2 linked regions of the Lepisosteus oculatus genome follow. The protein of the gene in region 1 binds, or shares a complex with, the protein of each later gene. Links are inferred from orthologs where the notes say so. Each region holds a gene or a part of one and is shown on either strand. Other genes may lie near its edges.

Region 1 (10,394 bases):
GCTGCACCCTGGTAAACCTCAGATCTGCTAGGGATTGATTCAGCTAAGAATATGACTGACATAGCTGCATGTTTCTCCAATTCCTATCTGCATCTGCTTCTTCATCTCTCTCAGATGCTGCTGGACCAAAACCAGTTCCTCACTCTGTTGCTTGGCATTTAGCTTGACCATTTCCAGGTGGTTCACAAACTCTGATAACAAGCCCTTTAGCCGTGCCAATATTTCAGCGTAAGCTATTTTAAGTCTCTATTCCAGGTCCAATTTTCTCCAAAGGTTCTTCAGCATGCCTTCATTTTCTCCCAGAACAACCGCATACTCCTCACAATCTGCATTTATTCTGATGCTCATCTTCTGAATTTAGTTTCACCCTCAGGAGCAGTAATTCTGTGGCAGTCTGGCTGAGATTAAATGGGATTTCTGTTTGAACGCCTGCAACCAGTGCTTCTTCTATAAATATCTGAGGGAAAAATATCTCAAAAGGTTTTGCTTCTCTTTGTTTCTTTACTGGATGCCAATCCTTCGCTTGTCCCTAGCTTGTCATGATAAGATCATAGGTTTTGATCTTTTTTTGTCCAACTTTCTCTTATGTGTTGGAGAATCTCATTTTCAATATTAAAAACGTAGTTCTTGTTTTCTATTTCTATCCTCTGGCTGGCCTCCAGCTTGGTCCCTAAAGAAAGAATTGAGAGAATTTCTTCTCAGAAATGGCCTGGATGAGCTGGGATTGAAGACTCTCCACCAGTGCCCACCAATCCTTAATTTCCACCTCTGCAATGAACATCCTGAACTGTTTCTTGGCGAAGAACTAATCAACTCTTTCTTGACCTTTTTGAGTTTTACTTGGATGCAGCTCCTGTTCAGACTTCCTCAGCTATCTGTCAAGTTCCAGCTCTTTGTAGCTTTCCAGGATTTTGACTATATCTATCTGACTATTTTCTGATTTCTTTTTCTCAGGCTTTCAGCTGTAGACCATTTTGTATAGTAGTAAACTCCTGTCTTCCCCTATCCTGGACTTCCAGATCATGTTCTTCACATACCACATCCTTCCCTTTTCTATTTCTGTCTCAATGAAGGCTGTTGGGTGCATAGTGCACCCTGTAGTGCAAATTTCTTTTGTTCTTGCTTCCAGGCTATCATTTTCCAGACCACCTCTGTCATGCCATCGAGGGAGTCCATCATTTTAAGGTCTCCTTCAGAAAATTTTCCATTGTCTTCAGAAAGTCCAGCAAGTTCCAAAAGTTTCTTTTTCACATTTAGCAGGCTGGAGAAAATTCTTTCCTGCCCTCTATCTTTAGCCAGAATGGAGTCCTTGAAACACTCAAGTCCACATTTCACCCCAACAAATCCAGCATTTTCTTGTTTATTTTGATCATTTTTAAAAGAAAATTCCCTTGCACTATTGCTGAATAGCCATTGGGGTGCGCTACTCCCTAAGACTGCAACCCATGCCCACATTCTACTCCATATGTGGCATACTGTATAACTTTTATAATTTAATAAGCAGATCTTGGTTACCAGACACTCAAACACATACAGAAATGAAAAAAAAAACAGTGCTCTTTACCTGAGTTTCAATTGACCTACATCTTTCGATCAGGTGACTACACGTCATTCCCTCCAGCTTTCTGGGAATGAGGTTTTAACAAGGACCCTGATCTTGTTTCCATCTACCACCCTCTCCCACTAATTCTGGTATGGGATGACCTTATTCTACCCCACTGAACCTGTGTTTATATAATTATCCTTCCTTTTCACCCATTATACCATTGTTAAATATTTAGAATGTGGAATAAAGATAAATAAATGCATATCCATGCCATTTTCTCTCATGATGTTTTTAGTTTTTTGTTCATTGGAAAGATGTCTGTGTTTGGGGAAGAAATCCCCAAGTGGATCAATTTTATACCATCTCAAATTATATTACTTATAACACAATATCTGTGTTTACACATATTATTGTGCTTTTCAAATGTGTTTTGGAAAACTGTCTTAATGGTTTTGCTTTGTATCCTGAGAGTATACACAGCTGCACCAAAACAGCAAAAAATACATGATTGGAATAGCAGGTGGCACTTCTTCAGTTAAGTTCATTTACAAAAATGTGAAAGATGGATATGCATTTTTTAAAGTTGAAAAAGAGTAGTCAGTCTTGTGTTAATTAAAGAAAACCACAAGCAGAGAGGCAAGAGCAGGTCAATGCTGTCATTCACATGCACATTTCCTGAACAGGACAGAATGGTACTGTTGATTAATATTCACCGGCTACTGGAAACCATGACTTTGCAGACCAAGAGTGAAGGATAATAAATTTGTATTAAAAGCATTAACGTAAAACACACCCCTTTCGCTCAAACAGACAGATGGCTTCAATTACGTTAGCACTTTAATAGATGTAAAAGAGCAGGGCTCATAAACTGGTCCATTTTATTAGATTAACAAACCAAAGAACAACCTGCTGTCTGTTTCCAGGTTTATAAAAAAATCCAAACACACAACTTCGCAAAACCGAAAGGGTATAAAAGTAGTTCTGAAGAGTGATATTAAGAACTATACAAGCAGACTGTTTCAAGGTTGTATTAGAAAAAAAAAGTGCATAAAGAAATCTGTTCTCTCTACCATTCTGGTCAACAAAATGAGAAATATTTATCCTTCTTTTAAGTGATTACGTTAAAGGCAATAGAAACTCCACCCATGGCTGTATGCCACCTGAAATTAAAGTAACAAAGTACCTAATATCTTATTTTATTTTGGAATAAATCAGTAATTGCGTAATATTCCAAATTGCCTCATTCATGTAATTAGAAGGGGATAAATGACTACTAAAGACGCATTCAGTGAAGATCTGTGTAACAGATTTAGCCAAAAATGAATTATTGCTCCCTTAATCCATTAATGGTTTTAAATGTGCTCAAAATTGCAAAACTGCAGGGGTACTTTATAAGCAGGTAAATTACACTAGCCACCGAGAGCATTTTATAAAACCAGTCTGAAAATAATGTTTGCTAGTTTTACTGAGTTCAGTGTGGCATTTTTCAGTCCCTCAGCCGCCTATACTGCTTTAAATATAGCCAAGCACTTTTCTCTGTCACCTTGCAGTATAGCCTTTAAAATATTAGAGGTCAGTGCTGACTGACTTATTTGCACATAAGCAGGTTCTCCAAGTACAAAATGAAGAAAATCCCTTTTCAAATGCTGTATAAAGTGTAAACAACAAAATGTTAAAACCAAAATAGCATTTTTATTATGACAGCATGATACTATGATGAATACTGATTGGGAATTTGTTGTAGTTAAACACCAGAATGTGAAAGTCATCAGAACTTTAAAATCCATGTGAAGTATTAAGAATCATATTAAGTATATTAAATGTAGTAATTATATCACTAAAAGAGATATAATTCTAATTAGAATTATAAAAGTTAAACCAAAAAATATTTTTTCCCTTTAAACTATGCAACTTTATTTAACATGAAGTCAATAGTAATATTAAAATCTGTTGTTAAATACGGGCAAAAGGACAGAATTACTGCTTTAAAATATAACTGGCTAAAGTAATTTGCATTACGATAGTGATGATCTCCTTTGTAATTTCCATTGATTCTTAACACACAATGGAAATGACAACTTCAAATCAAATGCCTCTTTCCCAAGGTCGTTCATACCTGTTGTGTTTCCTAATGCACTAAGCCTGATTCACTGTTACACCTGCCAGCAGTTATTAGAAACAACCATGAAACAGCCACCACTCATGTAATTTCAAAGACAATTAATACTGACAAGCACAACATTCATTTGGTATATTTGTTAAGCTGAATAAAACAATAATGGAGGCTTAAAATTGCTGGTATTTGGGTTATTTTGTGCTCTTCACACATCTGGATCATTTATTTTGCTGAACAGGTGGGAAATACTAGGTTTACATTTCTCTGAAATCAAATTTGAATTATTTTTACAGGGACACTGCCACTGTCCCAGGGACACTAATACTGTCTGTAAATCATCTAAACATTAGTCTTTTTATATAGTTTATTTCCTATTAAATATATTTTATAGAGATAATAGAGAAAGAAAAATGAACTACTTTGATTTCTATTTGAATGCATGATACAATGGAAGGGTAATACAACAAAATGTTTGTGATCACACTTTCACTTAATGCCGTTTGGATTATGCGTCTAAATTTCTTACATTCTTACAGTATATTTAGATTTAAAATCGGTATAACCATTGACTGTTGCTAATATTTTTTTCCTAACCTAATGAGAATAGATAATCGCGTGGTTCTTTTTTGTTCGTAATATGATAACCTAAGCAGGTATTATACAATATTTTGTTATTGATACGCGTTAGTCAAAAAAGCACACACCATGCCAAAATGAATTATACCACTTTTTATCATTGTGAACGCATTTGGGCAAGATCTAACAGATTGTATGTTCTCTAATTGCAACTCTAATTGAACAGACATTTGTTTCATCATTCTCTCAGACGAAACACAATTCTAGAGACGTACATTATGTAGCATTTCAGGATAATTATTCATGCAGACGATTCACCAACAGAGGGCAGTCTGCAAAAGCGTTTCAATACAATTTAACCTTTTTTTCCGAATTTAACATCGCAAAGAACGGTCAAGAGAACGCGCTGATTGATTATGGTATTGTTGTTAATAACGTTAAGTCATTAAAACATAAAAGAGTAAAACTTAAATACCCCCTAATGTATTAATGCACAAATCAAAGAAAAATACATTTCAAAATACATTCCAATATTGTATTTTTGTGCAATGCAATTTCTTCCTAAATGAAAACCATTCGTTTTTTAAAAAACGTCGCAATCCCATAAGGGTCATGAACAGTCGTCTTTACTAAATCGAAAAATGTAATTCAAATACATTAAATACATAAATAAAAAGCAAGAAATATAATTGCCATAATAGTTTAAAAATACATCTAAATACCTGTTGAAATTCTTATTAATTCATTTAAAAATTAATACTTTAGCCAAATTCCTGATAATTTAATTTGATTAACTTTCTACCTTCGTCTTCTTTTTAAGATGGATGTCCATCTATAGAAAATACTTGAAAGAAGTGATCACGCATTCACACGTTGCTCAGTACACCCAGCTTTAACCTAAACATAATATGTTAGGTAAATGAATATGTAAGGTGCTTGTGCGTTTTCTTTCAAATTGAAGTTATGATGAAAAGCTAATATTAAAAAGGTTACCTGATTTTTAAGTCAAATTCTAAGGATATACTGTAACTATTCAGTGATCACTATTGTTGAATGCTTTTTGGTGCTGAAGAGGGCATGTTATTACATGTTATACTGTAGCCGGGGGTTTCAGCAGTATTTTTGAAAAACAAAATCTTAGTGTTTTATGCAGTTACTTGAAAATCAAAGATATTTTAATAGTACAACTGAACCCAGTCCTGACATCACTATTGTCATAACTATGTGTTACAAGTACCAATTAAATTTGTGTTTTTACTTACATTTCATTTTCAGACTTGTCAAACAACGTCGCACGGTGTACTGTAGCTGTTATAGTGTATACTGTTACCAGCATCAAGACATTTTGTTCGAAAAAAAAGTTTTTTAAACTTATCTTTGAACGTGCGTGGTTTGAAAGCGGTAGCTGCGGCTTTAAGAAGGAGGTGGAGTATTTAAGAATGACGCAGGAGTAAGACTGAAAAGATGCTTCAAAATTCCTCCCCGAAGCCACTCTCTGTGTGGTAACAGGCTGGGCAGTTACCATATTTAAACAACAGGAATTATTAGGGAAACAGAACTATTAGTAAGGGAAACAGAAGGGGATTTTTAAAACCAAGTTGAGACGGTTTCAGAAGATTTAAAGTGCAGGATCCCTCATATCACAGATTCGCTACCTTTTGAAAAAAAAAAAAGAAACTTCTTAAAAGTTTTAAGACGAAAATCTTAATTTCTCTGAGAGTTTGTCAATTTAAAGAAATAATATCGGAAAGCCGAAAAGTAAAAAAAAAATGGTAGAGTTTTTAAATTATATCAATATAGGAAACGTAATACCCGTCAAAGGTGCCAATATGCCATGCTTGCTGTCATGCTGCCTATACTTATGGCTAATCTTAATACCTGTCAAGACAAGTGCACAGAATGAAGACAGTGTAATTGAAGTCTTAGTTACTTTGCCAAAAGACAGCGCATACATGTTCGCCATCCCAAGAGTAAAACCAGCAATAGAATATGCATTGCAGCGGATCAGCACTGATGAACGGCTTCTTCCGGGACTCATTTTTAAAGTCCACTATGAGGACTCAAACTGTGGCAATGAAGCCCTCTTCAGCCTTGTGGATAGGTCTTTGAAGAAGAAGCCAGATTTGATTCTTGGTCCCGTTTGCGAGTACGCTGCAGCACAGGTGATAAGGATGGCATCCCACTGGAACATCCCAGTGATTTCGGCAGGTGCTTTAGCAACAGGCTTCAGCGATAAACTAAAGGAATACACGCACCTGACCAGAGTTTCCCCTTCTTATTTAAAAATGGCGAAGACATTCTCTGCAATGTTTAACTATTTCAGCTGGAAGAACGCAGTTCTTATCTATGATGATGACAAAGAAGAGCGGAACTGTTACTTCACAATGGAGGGGGTCCACGAAGTTCTTAATTCGGAATCGGAGGTACATCATCTATTGCCTGTATCCTTTAACTCCAAAGGGGGAGTGGATGTTGACGAGATAATCAGGTCGATCTACGCCAACGAAGGTAGTACGCCCCTTTATTGTTTAAGATACATTAAATATTAGCAAAAGAAAATGTTCTTCAGGATAACTGAATAGTCGTCTAGTTAGTCCTGGGTGTACTTTTACTGTTTTAAGGCCAATAAAATATACAGAATATCAGATAAGTAACTAAGAACTGTGCGGCCAAAATTGCCGGAGCCATTGAATCTCCATGGTAATGAATTAATGTACAGTACATGGTATATTGATACACAATGTGAAAGTGTTTTAGCCTTTACAGTACCCTTTTAAATCTATACAGTATTTATATCAAGAAAGTAGTCCTGGTGTTATGTAGAGGACCAAAATAATGTTAAATGGAATCCCTTTGATAAGCAGCCGAAAAGATTTTCATTTAATCTTCTGGAGGTGATTTATTGCATTTTTATTTTTACATTACTGTGGTTCCCGCGACTGAGCTTTTCGCCGCTGTTAATTTTCTAAAAATGTGTAAGATTTCTAAATTGGTCATTTAAAGATATTTCATTCTTTTGCTTTCATTGAGACAGACAAATCCTTTTTTAAAACAAATTCAAAAGAATTAGGGTTCTGCAGATTGCTGTTGAATAACGTTGTGTAATACTTTACACTTGGGAGGTAAAATAGGAGACGAATGATGGAGACGAGAGTGGTGGATTGGTGACAAAGAATTTTACCAAAGAAAAGAAGACGCTTCTGAATACAACTGGCTTTGTTATTAAAATGTACTGATGAAGTCCTGCCATCTGTGCGCTTTTATGTACTCCGTTGCAAACGGAAACGTATCTCAATACTGGTAATATAGATTAAAGAGTAGGTTACTATCCATTATATCCCACTACGCACTTGACATTCCAGAGCATACTGTACCAAATTTTCATTTTGGTATTTACTGTATGTTATCTCTGATTTTACACTAATGAGTTTGGTTCTGTGAACTTAACATATTGGCAGGAACTCGCCAATGGGCATTTTAAAAGCAAATTGTCTCTGGCCATTAATTAAAAATGATTTAATTTGATCCAAATTGTTTAAGACAACTTATTTACAAGTTGCATTCAAAGGTTTAATTATCACTGTATTAAAAAAGATGAGTCCCTCTGGTAAATCTGTTAGTTATTAGTATCTAGAGCAACATGGTAGATACTGTTAATCTTGGTAGCCACACAATTTAATTTAGCCCCTGAACTGAACGCAGGCATCTTTTGAAAAGCAAGGAAGACTGAAGCTAGGTTAACAGAAATCATACATTTTTAATGAATAGTCTGTAGGTGTACTAAGAAGTCCAGAGTGCAATATGTATTTGATAGAGAAATATGCACAGTTATTGTCATCATTACTTTTTCCAGACATCACCGAATATTTTTAGGATTTACTATTTGTGTCTTGAACATACCAGCCTATTTTTATTATAGCTTCCTTTTTAAAATCCATGTCGCTCATGGTTACATTGCAAAGAGGTTCGGAATAGGTATCACCATTTAGCTTAATATCAATGATGCAGTGTGAAACACCTAAGATATAGAAAGTTTTACTTTAATGTGAGGGATTTCTCATTTCTCTTGGTTGATGAGATCATTTCTGATTCACGTGTTGTTTCCATTTCTACTATGCATTGAATGTGTTCTGTAACATAGCATTTCACCTAAGGCCTATTGTGAATGCTACATACACAGTATTGTAACACATACGGCTCACATATGTTGTTTGAGCCGGCTTGCCTGCATGGTGATGTCACCGCCCTTCCCTGTGAATAGCAGGGACCTCAGTCACGGGGCTGATGGGAGATTTCCCTTTAGCTCAGCTGGCTGGTTACCCAAGTGAACCCGAAAACACTACATTGGTGTTAGCAGCGGGATGGCATAGCCCTTTGCCGAGGACGGCGAATTAAACGGGGGAGAGTGTAATGCATATGGCCGACATTACAGGTTGTGTGAGCCAGCTTTTCAGCACAGTGACATCACCGCCCTTCCCTGTGAATAGCAGGGATCTCAGCTGACGGGAGATCTCCCTTTAGCTTAGCCGGCTGGTTCCCTGTTGACTGATGCCGGAGGACCGGGTTCAAGTCCCCAGCGGTGGGCCAACCTGAGGCGGCAGCAGTGAGGGCGCATACCCATGTGAACCCAAAAGTGCCACAGTATTATGAGAGTGGAAAAAAATGGTTATACAGTATATACTGAACTTAAAATCATGACAAGAACCTTCACCAGACATTATATATTTGTTCAAAGTTATTGCAAGCCAGAAAATATAGGTTACTATCAGTAGGGATTGTTTTTTACACAATAAAATGGTGACTCCTACTAAAGATTGCTGAGGATGAACTTATGGATGGTTTTTAACCCTTAAAGTGAAAATTTACATTTTGATTGATTTTTATAGTACACTTACCTACCAAAGAACAAGTAAAGGATAATTCCATGCTGAAGAGCAGACAGAAGAAACAAAATATTTTGGCTGTTCTTCTCGTGTCACCTGCCAATGAAGCCTGACTCGACTACTCACAAGTCCACTTTCTGTCATTTCAGTGCCCAGAACTTCAAAATAGTGAACACAGAAGCTGTGAATAGAATATAGACATTTCCAGTTACAGAGTACATACAACAGAGTTACAGTGATAACGCTGTCAAAATAAGTTTAGGGGTTGTTGATCAATTATGGCAACCTGATCACATTGCTGTAGTGAAAGGGACTCACATCTTAAAAGTTACACACACTTCACTTAATGCTTCTGAAATTGTCATGAAACAGATTTTGCACGAGTTTTGTCAGACAACACCATACGCTCTTATTTCAGTTATGTTATTATTAAAAAAAAAGGGTCTGGAAATAACAGTAATTTTAGTTCAAATGTCAAAATGGAGGCTAAAGTCCGTTAAGATTCTACTGAAACTAAGATAATATGTTGGAGTACTAGAATGGTAAATAAACAGTGCATTTGTGCTTATCATGACCTGATGTAGTATTCTTATAATAATAACAATAATAATAATAATAATAATAATAATAATAATAATAATAATAATAATAATAATAAATAATTGCTTACTCATATATAGCGCTTTTCTGAACACAACACTCAAAGCGCTTTACAGGTAATGGGGGCTCCCTTCCACTACCAGCAATGTGCAGCATCCACCTGGATGATACTAATGTCACTGATATTACCTGACTTACTAGAACACAATTGGATATATTTGCTATATTTTTTACAAAGGAAAGGAAAGATTACAGGAATCATAGCATGGTCTGAACAAAGATGTAATACCAGATTCCATCTGATGATTTTAATTGCATACACAACGTACATGCAGATCATTACTAAATTTAACTGTATACTATACTGAAGAATATATATATATAATTATATAATTCTGCAGATTTTTATATCACATTATTTGCTTTTTTGACATAATTCATTTATTTGCTACCATGATTACAATATATTTTGTAATCATGGTGCAATACAATATATAATACAATATATTTTGTAATCAGTGCCTATCCCAGCAATCAAGGGTCACAAGGCAGGATACACCCTTGACAGCATATCATTCCATTGTAGGGCACACACAGACAGACACAAACACAAACTCACACCTGGGCCAATTTTGGCAGAAGAAGTTAACCTACCAGTATGTCTTTGGACTGT
Region 2 (10,476 bases), on another chromosome or scaffold:
TTCAGAGTGAGCAGCCAGGCAAAGAGGAACCAGTTTAGGGAAGGCACCATGAAGCCAACAGTGCCTTTGACAGAGTTCATTATCTTCAATATGGCAAATATCCAAGGGTTACCAGATCCTGGTGACTTCACAAAAGTCACCAGGGAAGCTTGTCAGGAATGATGGGAACATAGAGCAAAGTACTGGCCAATCTTAGAGGAAAACCTGCTTCAGACGTAAAACTGGAACAAAAATGTACCCTTTAGCAGGACAATGATATTAAGCACAAGGACAAACCTGCAAGCCTGGAGTGACTTAAGAATAAGAAAGTGCATCAGTGACCCAGTCAAAGACCTTGAATACGTTAATACGCTAGAGGATTTGTGGAAAGACTTAAACACTATTGTCCATAAGTGATCCCCAAGCAACCTGAGACAATTTGTGCGAATCCACCAAGACATACTGTATGGCCAGAAATTGTGTCATATGGGTGTGCAAACTTGGTAGAGACTTACCCTACCAAGGCTGTATTTACTGTGGCTCTAATTACTTCTAAAGATTCTTTCACCATATACTGAGTTATGGATCTGAATGCTCACGCAATCAATATTTTCTCTTTAGTTTTTGCTGGCATTTACTTTAACCTAAGTGGCCGTTGGAAGTCTTCAGTTTGAACATTCACATCTTGAATAAAATATTAAGTCATTTTGTAATTTCACAACATAGGAAACACTTTTGTAAGGCCCTGTAACAATAGATCAACTTGCCGATTTTCTAAAAAAGCCATTTGACATTTTTAATGGTCATTGTTCTTCAGATTTTGTATTATTTTCACAGTACTATAAGTACCATTCTGCCTGTTGTACATACATGTATTTACATGTACATACAGTGTGTATCAGTTTTGACATGACTGTCATGCGATGGGTTATAGGAAGAATCGATGACATATTGCCTTTTAAGTTAAACTAAAGTGTTGCTTATTTTAACTGTGACCATTTCATTCATTCCTATGCTATAGTGCAGTGGAGGGAGCAGTATTCAAACCTAATGACAGGACAGTCTATCCTTTTTGTTCCAGCCAGGTTGTGTAACAAGGTTTGTTCATTCAATGAATTTCTTTTAAAAAAAAAAAAAACATTTGCATTCTTGTAAGAAACACAAAGAAGCAAAGACTTAAAATGGGAAATGATATGAAAATGCTGGTCAATTCAACTCAATTGACTGAGTATAGAATCTCTGTTTTCGTCACACGCACGTCAGTCTGCCACACATCAAATGAGTGATAATAAATAATGGACTTATTTTCAAATGAATTAGAAAGATACAAAATCCCAAACCACAACATCTCCCTGGGAGGGCTATTAGGTTTGGCATCTACTAAAATCTTGAAACTTTTGCTGAGTGTTTTATGCATACGTAGGCAATATCTTATGTAAATCAAATGAAGCTTTTAACCATTCTGTACAAATTCTGAATACTGAGAATTGGAAATGAAAGCAGATGTTTTAAAAGCTACTGTATATAGGTAAATGGCCATTGGCTTCTGGACCCTTGCTGGCATAAAGCTGATCATGGACTATCCAGAACCCCTCAGCCAGCAAGGATGCTAAAGAAGAACAGCTGTGAAGGGAAAATTCTGCAGGAGTGGACAGTAAGGAACAATTCACTCTTAGTCACTCAGTTCTGATATAATCCGCCATTTCCCACAGCTCAAGAGGGCAGCTTTCATTGTCTCAGGACAATCACGTAGAAGACACTTCTGTTTTGATTTCTTTCTCTTTAAGCCCCTGACTTGCTCATGAAACATTACAGAAGTATGTCTGCCCCTGCTCTGGGTAACCTGTCAGTTGAGTTATTCTCCCCTTTGGAATGGGCAGCCATGCTTAGATAAAATGCTGTTTGTATGAATGAGTTAGTTGTTAGCAGAAGTCTACCTGCCGAAGAAGTAAGTTGGCAGTGTCATTACCACTGCCTCGCACGATCTACTCTTTTCAGGTCAGCAAGACGGCCTCAGCAGCACTGGGATGGGAAACCTCCTAGGAAAACAAGAAAATTGCTTTAGACGGTGCTGGTGAACCGGAAGGGTGCACTTGTCCCCCAAAACCAGAATTTCCACATACGAATAACCCAGGATAGTGAGCAGAGGCAGCGTGTTGTAGGAGTTGCCTTTGGATGAGATGTTAAGCTGTCGGTCTGACTACTTGGTCATTAAAGATCCCACGGCTCTATTCGTAAGGGCAGGAGGCTTAACCCTGCTGTCTGGCTCATTTCCACTCTGGACTACCCTAATGATCTCCCTTCATTCGACTGGAGAGGGAATTTCTCAATTCTCAATTCATTTCCTATGTACTTCAGTGCCGCCTCTTCCTATCTACAGAGTGGTTTGGGGTCCTTAGGCATGAAACAAATTCATGCTCTATAAATTAAATGAATTGTTGTTGTTAACTGTCGGGTGTAGCTTGAGAAGCTTTTGATGAATGATTACAAGTAATTCTTAATTTGGAATCAGGAAAGTGAACTGCAATTTTTTTTTTATCCTAGCCACCACTGCAGTTTCCCAAATCACAGTTTTCATCTATCCATCGATGTTCCACAGCGGCTTCCTCCTATGGATGGCTGTGCTGAGGCAGATCCTATCCTGGCGGAGCCAGGGCGCAAGTTGGAATTGCACCCTGGATGGAATCAGTGCATCACAGGGCAGACACAGACGCACAAGCAGACATGGACAAGAGACAACAATAGCCCAGCCAGCATGTCTTTTTTGAAGTTTAGAAGACCCGATACCCATCTATCCATCCATCCATTTTCACTCTGCTTTCCCTGGTGAGGGTCGTGGCTGCAGTAGACTGAGTGGATCAGCCCAGACTTCCCTGTCCCCAGTACAGATTCCAGCTCCTCCTGGGGGATCCCCAGATGCTCCCAAGCCAGCCGAGAGATATAATCCCTGCAGCCTGTCCAGGGTCTGTCAATGGGTCTCCACTCAGTGGGACGTGCCTGGAACAGCTCCAGTGGAAGCCGACCGACCAGGGGGGCATCCTTATGAGATGCCCAGACCACCTCAATCAGCTCCTCTCGCTCTGGAGTAGCAGCGACTCGACTCTGAGGCTCTCCCGGTGCCGGTGAAAACCCGTGTGCACGAACTAGAACATGCACACTCCTCACAGAAGGTCTCCAAGCCTGAAAGTCGGGTCCAGCAGCACTGTAAGGTAGCTCTTCACTCTACTGGTTCTCAGTTGTCACGGTTTATGTGATCAATAAATACACCATTTGTCAAGCCATCGGGAACAGCTCTGCCAATTGCACAAAGTGTCACCACATCCAAATGCCTTCTTTTCATCTGAGAATGGGTCTCAACAAGATCAGAAATTGACATCTTGACATCACACAGCTCTCAAGTCAGAAATCATCTCCACCCCCCCCCCCCCCCTCCACCCCCCCCCCAAGTCAGACATTTCTATTTAAAAGAATAATACATCCTTGAACATGTGTATCTACCAATGTCTTCTAACGTTCTTCTCCTCATGTAACTCATTCCCATTTCCAGTGTTCGGATACTTTGGTCTTGCTTAGACTGTGAACTAAAGGGAAATCTGAAGTATTTATCACTCTACCATACTTGTGTAAGCTGATTAGAAAACAAAGGAAAATGGAAGAGGAAGAGTCATCCATACCATGACTAGAGAAAAGGATTTTGAAAAAGACCGGGGAAGGCGAAAATGGCCAAATATATAGCCTCTTAAACAGCACATTCAGAACAGTTTAATATTGTTATTTTGTAATAATTATTATAAAATACATGTAACTCGAGGCATTTTTTATTCGTTTTCACGGAGTAGATGAAAATGACAGGGATAACATAAAAACATCTGTGTGGTTAGTTCGGACAAAGTAGCAGAACACTGGAAATCACGCTTAATAAACCTCTTTCAGCATTTCAGGATTTGGCAACGAACAGCTCTTTCTCGTGAACTAAAGCGTCGGTTTCTTGTTTGCTGTGCGGCGTGGGAGTAATTATAGAGAATTCTTACTGTACGTTTTCTCCGGAAGACAAACCCCACGGCTTCGACCACTCTCAGAGTGAAGACTGTCTCTTACTAAAGACTGAACACGCTCCTCGAGACTACAATAATTCAGTGATCCCCACCTGTCCGCCCACTTCCTTCTCAATAACCACCCTCAAGATATTAAGACTATTCACTTACCCGCGACATGCAAAAAGACCCGCATTGCAACCGCGCATAAAAATCTATAAGCGAAAATACAAAAGTCTATAATACCAACAATATTATCGTTTGTACTGAAAATGTCATTTCGTTTTGGCCAGTTGTGTTGGGTAATCACACATACCAAAAGCAGCAATTATATATAAACTCCGCATGAGCAGGGCTACAGCGGGCAGTAAAAAGACGCACTCCTCTGGCATCTGAAGTCTGCGCTGTCTGTAGGAGAATTAAACGTCGTTCTACAGAGCAGGTGTCCTTCAGTTTTTCGCAAAAATGCTTATTTGTTGAAGAAGCGCACAATGAGCACTGTAGCTTACAGGCGAAACATATTTTTAAAGAGCACCTAGTGGGTTGAAATTGACCGCAATATCCCATCCTTCAAATAGCACATATTAACCTAGTAAATCGACTGTCAGTTAAAGCATTTTGGTCAAATCACACGCAAATACTGATAGAATTAAGCACAGCATTTCCAAACCAAACATCTTTAAAATCCATTGAGCAAAGTCGGGATCTATCCGTCTTTCTGGAAAAACGAAGAGGTGTAAACAAGAAGTTTTGGAATACAAGAAGAAAAAATAAGACATCATTGTCTTCAAGTGATTTAATCTTAAATTTTAAGTTTAAGGGTTTCAGAAGAGTTGTGGGGTAATGGGATCAACGCGCGATAAATGCATAATTTGGAATTTTGCAGTGTGAATCTCCAAATTAATTTGATGCATATGATCTCTTCATTCGCAAACTTAAAATGTTGGTGTCATCACTAGTTTAACTCTAAAGTACAGGTAAACGTAGCCCGCATCTTCTTTAGAAATGATCAACTCCCCATACATTAAACTAGATATATATTGCACTCAGCTAAATACAGTATAGGAAGACGGGTTTTTTTTTTCTAAATTAAAACGGGACTTTTCATATGACGCAATAATCGTAATGTGATATTACATTATACGCATTCATTTTTAATTTAAAAACATAAAAGATTTATGAAAAGATTGTAACGAAAAGAAAAGAAACGCCTTCAACACCCACAAAAGTTGATAACGGAAACAAAACTGGCTACAGAATGCACTTGTCAAATTTTCTCTAGACCAACAACTGCTCAGATTTCAAAATAAATTTAGAAAAACAAAGTAGGCTCTCTTACGCTAAGGCGTATGTATATATGAACTGCACATATATTAAATTCCAAATCAAATTAAAACGAAACGTTAAGATGGGTTATCCGTGAGTCCCTAGACATCAGCATTGGGCGCACGCAGATATCCAGTGAGGGGAGATGGGAATCGGCTAATTGTTAAATATAGAGAAAAAAGTTATATTCTAGGGCTAAATAAACAGATCGTGTTAAAGTTCTTCTCGATAAACCAGTTTGTCCCTATTTCACGTTGTTTCGAATCAGTGGTACCGTAACTCCTTGTACAGTAGATCAGAAAACCTGAACACGACCATAAATGACTTGCAGGATTTTGCTTTGAAGTGTCCCGCTTATTCATTTGTTTGGCATAATTAATACAAGGAGCGCAGTTTATTCTTTTAACTGAATGGTTAATTGTAAAAACCTCCAAACATCCTTGTTATAAACGAGAGAAGGACATGCCAGATTGCTCTACAGCCAGACAAAAGATAGGTAACTCTGGAAGCACCCGTATGATGTTTTACCCCAGAAGAGACCATATCCACGTCCTAACTGCTGTAAAAAATACACAGACTAAAAGCGGTATAGCATACTATAACATACACGCGTACAAAAACACACTACCGCGAAAATTTACAGGTAAAAAAAAAATTGGCAACATATCACAACAGAAGGGGGGGTGGGAGGGGGGGGGGACACTATTACAAAGCCTGGATGACATCATCGCTGGGTTATAAAAAGCGTGAATGGTGTTCCTCTCTAGCAGTGCAGAACTTGAGTATCTTGGAGTAAGCGAGGCAAGACAATCCACTTGCTGAGAACCGACCTCGATCCGAAGATTTTATTGTAACCAGAAGGAACCCAGTCTTCGAGTTCGCCACTGAGCAGAAATGAATATCTCGCATTTGGTGGCTTGTGGACTATTGATGACTCTGCTTTCAGTGAGCATGGAGGCTAAACCTTTGACGCCGGCACAGCAAAAGGTAAATCAGATTTACACGGTATAGACTCCGTTAGTATAGCCTTGTGATATCCAGCGTAATGATCCATTGTTGTTTTCGGTGGTGGCGTATTCTTTTGTCTGAAAAATAATTGACAGTGCGTTTAACGGTTAGTTTATATTATTTCTTAAACCATTTAAGCTAACTTTTCTACGACTCCTTGCAGTTATGCTCGGCTGTTACTTTAGTTTTTTTTTGCTTTTGGCGCAACTATTCCTACGAGTTGTACTAAAACAATAACAATAACAGCCGCATTAAAATACGTTTTGAACAACATATTAACCTGTTCATCCATTAATAAAGTGGTGGGAACGTTTTCTTCATGGTGTTCAAAAATAGTTGGTTGCATACATTTTTAAACTTCGAAGTTTAGAAGTTCACTGAAGGAAAAACACAGTTTTATTTTTATTAAAGTTTCACTCTCATGACCCTGTAGTGTTAGAGATGACTAAAACCCATCATCATTATAAGTACTTATTATTTCTTAATTTTAAAAACTAAGAAAAAATTTTTTTACGCATGGTGCGTAAGAAAACATGACATATGAGGAAACGTACAAGTTATCTTAATAGCATGTTCTTCTTTTGGTAGCTGCAAGTATCGCACCTATGTCATGTTCCGGGATGCATCACATTCCAAGAACTGTATTCTGGTACCCAGACATTCAGAAGTACATGAACGCGCAGATACGATGGTAAAAGAGATGAGGGCTCACCGTAGCTTCTTGTAGATTCAGACCCGTCTAACAGAAGAAAAAAAATTTAAGATAATTTTAATAACTTAGTGACTGAACCTCTTTGTCCCACTTTCGGAGCTCGTAAAACGTTTAGCGGACATCAGTGACAAAAGCCCCACCTCGGTAGTAGTGTAGTACCTGTGCATCATACATGGGCATTGTGACCAAATCGATGGAAAGCAGTAAAAAAAAAAGACAAACAGGACAATTTCCTTTCCGTATAATATAAGTATCTTTACGGAATTTATCTACTGAAATAATACATATCTTTCATTTTCCAATGGAGTTTATATTGGGTAATGTCTTAATACGGACATATCTTTAAAAAAGTTTTTTTTCTTTAGGAGGTGGCGTGAACTCCCACTTATCTGAATCTTCCCACATGGAAATTTACTAGGATGTAACAACGGGAAAGTGTTAAAATCGATGTAGGTTATGCTAAAATGGGGAAAAAAAAACACAGCAAAGTATCCACAGCAATGTCTCAATAGCACCTCCAACAGTTGATAAGAAGATACTCTGTTCTTACCCATGTCCCCAGTTTGAATAGGAGAGCTTCTCTACTTTATTCCAATACTAAACGTTAAATAGGCTCCTTAAAATAAACCTTTAACCTTTGTTGACAATGACTTAGCCTACCGTATATTCAGTAACTCCTGCATCCACATGAGCATGAAGTCGACAGCTTAAAGACTTCTGCAATATTAAACTCGATTAGTAAGGACGGTTTGTGGATTGAGCTGAAGGTCAAGTAAAATAAAGCTGTTAGTGGCTGTTTGTCATTGTGCCATCCTCCTCTATAGCTCACATCTGCACCTACCCTGGCAGGTTCCAGGTGAGCTGTTGATGATTCCTTATGGAGAGTGGCGCCTGCACTCTCACAGCCTCTACGGAAAATATATTCCCTGCTCCAACACCGCAGAAAACACAGAAGGAAATATACTAAGTATTACAGAAGCAAAAGAAAGCAGGAGAGATTCTGATCTGCAGAGAGGCGTTAAATGGACAACAAAATGTGATTCCAACTCTCTTTTGGTGCATTTTGCATCTCACTCCGCCACATATGACTGGCTAGAGAAGTGTGAGACCGTAGAGTCTTATATTCACTCCTGCTGCTGATTTTCAGTGAATGGCTGCACATTACAGTCATCTAAACCTGTGATCATCTCTTTGTGGATGATCACAAATAAAATAATGACATACAATGACTGGAAACTAAAGGGGGAAAGCGTATTGTAATATGTTTACAATCGGAATTCCCGATTTACTTTGGTTTACATAAAATAACGAACGGTGCGAGCCGTTCAGGTGCCGTGTGGTTACACGCAACAGTTGTCCGGTTAAATAAATCATGCTGAACCAAAACACAGAGGGTCATTTTATTAACGCAGAGTATTAAGATGCTCAAGCAATAAGTTCCTGCTGGAAAGAGAACTGCTGTGGCGACCAGTCTTGCTGTATGAAGACAGTTACTGGATTCACAGACGGACCATGCGTGAGTCCAGCTGCCACAGGTCTGACCAGGGAAGCCGAGAGCTGACGCCTTTTTCTTCTTTATCTCTTTGTTTTAGTCTCTTAGAAGCTTGTTAGGCGAAGAGCTGTCCGAGTACCTAGCATCGGGGGAGACGGAAGGCAAACTTGAGAGTGCGAGGTCGAGGGTGCGACTCCTCCGGGACCTGCGCCTGGACACCCGGGCGAAGGCAGCCTGGGCGCGGATTCTGAACGACCAGCCCAGCCCGCGGAAGTTCAAGGGCGGCGTGAAGAAAGGGGGATCCCGGGGCTGCTTCGGCCACAAGATTGACAGAATAGGGACCATCAGCGGCCTCGGCTGCTAAAGAGACAGCGCCCAGAGGCGGTAAGTGAAGCACCGGGGTGGCAAACTCTAGGAGGATGTGAGCTGACGTCAGCAGTATCGGAGACGCAAATCTCATGTTGTGAGTGCTTGGCAGTCGTTAACAGTGAAGTAGTCATTAATAAACATGTATAAATGACAAATATCCAAATCTGGTTGACAGCCGTGCAAGTAATCATTTAAAAGGGTCACCTATTATAGGGTTATTAACACTGCATTATCATTCTCTTCAGGTGTTATGGGTGAAAAGAGCTTTCGGATTAATTTCGAATTCCATATTTTGAATTGTAACCATAAATACACTGTATATGTGTACTTGGAATATAGTGTTTCTTCATGTAAAAATTTTTTAACACTTGGGAGTGGTAGCGAAAGGCACTCTAAGTAGTTTTGGATCCAGGTTACAGTGAGGTTGGGACTCAAATGAAATTCACACTGATCACACTGTCAATTAATTGTGCAAAAAAAGCACTTGCTTACTTAAATTATGTCAAAACAATTTGACATTGTGTCATGATCTGAAATACAGTCGTGACACACAGATTCAAAGACATAATTGGAAAACACAATGTTTTTGTTATTTGTGCTGCTGCTAAAGCAGGATGCCTCCTGTATTTTTAGGGAATAAAAGAAATAGGCAAATCTTTACGTTTCTAATAAACAATATAGTCCAATATTTATTTTGTACATTTGAGGGATGTATTAAGATAAAAGGACAAAAATAAAGGAATCATGGGGAAATAATGTCCTACTGGGTGCAGAATGCCATTTATTGATGCTCCCAGTAGCTGGAAAAGAAGTCTGTATACACATAAAATTAAAAGAAAAATATTTACGGGTGACTTAATTAAATGTATCCACAGCAAAGATTGTCTTTAATAAAGTATACATTATTGGACACTAACAAAGGATCAGGGATTAAATATAGGACAAAGAATTTCTTAATTATCACTGAGTGCACTGAGTACAAGTGCTTTTTGTAGTCTAAATGTTCTTCATGTGTCAAGGTTGTTTCAGAACTGTGGACATCAGTCTGTCCTGGCACAATGAAATCCGAACACCACACAAGAAACGAAATGTGCACTGAATGAAAATGCTTATGGATAGTTCTTTGAATGTACTATACCGCCTTACCACCTTGCACGTGTGTAAATGGGAAAATGTGACCATTACCATCAGTAATAAACTAGTGTAAATGCCCTGAGATTAGAGGTTGCATTATTAGGGATCATGTCATAGGCAGCTGACACCTTACATGTCCTTTAGCATGGCTCATTACAGGAATTTGTAGGTCAGCATACAGTAAATGTGTATAAAACATTAACTAATTTAGTGATAAAGATATGAGGTGATCCACAGTTAACTGAAGCAAAGTACACATATGGCTTCAGACTATGGCTGTAAAATGTTCTCCGAGACCGGGCGTACGTAATCTCTCTTTCCAAAGTCATCTGAAGTGTGTCAGTGGGTGAATGTGTCTTACTTTTTCCATTTTGTGCAATCGATCATCCCCTTTCCCTGTTTCCCCACTCTGACCCCCCTGG

The links. Proteins that work in one complex are often made in the same cells at the same time.
Region 2: the proteins of npr3 (region 1) and nppc are in contact, whole or in part, in a crystal structure (PDB 1JDP), measured with the Homo sapiens proteins. The link is inferred for Lepisosteus oculatus from reciprocal best matches to the Homo sapiens genes NPR3 and NPPC. Residues at the interface, in NP_001191304.1 of Homo sapiens: Asn110, Tyr138, Ala141, Pro142, Arg145, Ala161, Gly163, Phe164, His166, Glu170, Tyr171, Tyr204, Lys208, Leu209, Arg211, Tyr214, Phe215, Leu217, Glu218, His221, Glu222, Gln225, Ile233; in NP_077720.1 of Homo sapiens: Gly109, Cys110, Phe111, Gly112, Leu113, Lys114, Leu115, Asp116, Arg117, Ile118, Gly119, Ser120, Met121, Ser122, Gly123, Leu124, Gly125, Cys126.

The regions. Positions count from the first base shown.
Region 1 is NC_090698.1:40,241,297-40,251,690, reverse strand, and holds the start of npr3 (atrial natriuretic peptide receptor 3), read left to right. Parts: upstream 1-5,739; 5' UTR 5,740-6,007; coding exon 6,008-6,746; intron 6,747-10,394. UniProt on the Homo sapiens protein: Receptor for the natriuretic peptide hormones, binding with similar affinities atrial natriuretic peptide NPPA/ANP, brain natriuretic peptide NPPB/BNP, and C-type natriuretic peptide NPPC/CNP.
Region 2 is NC_090708.1:8,850,184-8,860,659, forward strand, and holds the start of nppc (C-type natriuretic peptide), read left to right. Parts: upstream 1-6,086; 5' UTR 6,087-6,233; coding exon 6,234-6,326; exon of another isoform or gene 6,327-6,424; intron 6,425-7,059; exon of another isoform or gene 7,060-7,150; intron 7,151-8,651; coding exon 8,652-8,915; 3' UTR 8,916-8,935; intron 8,936-10,476.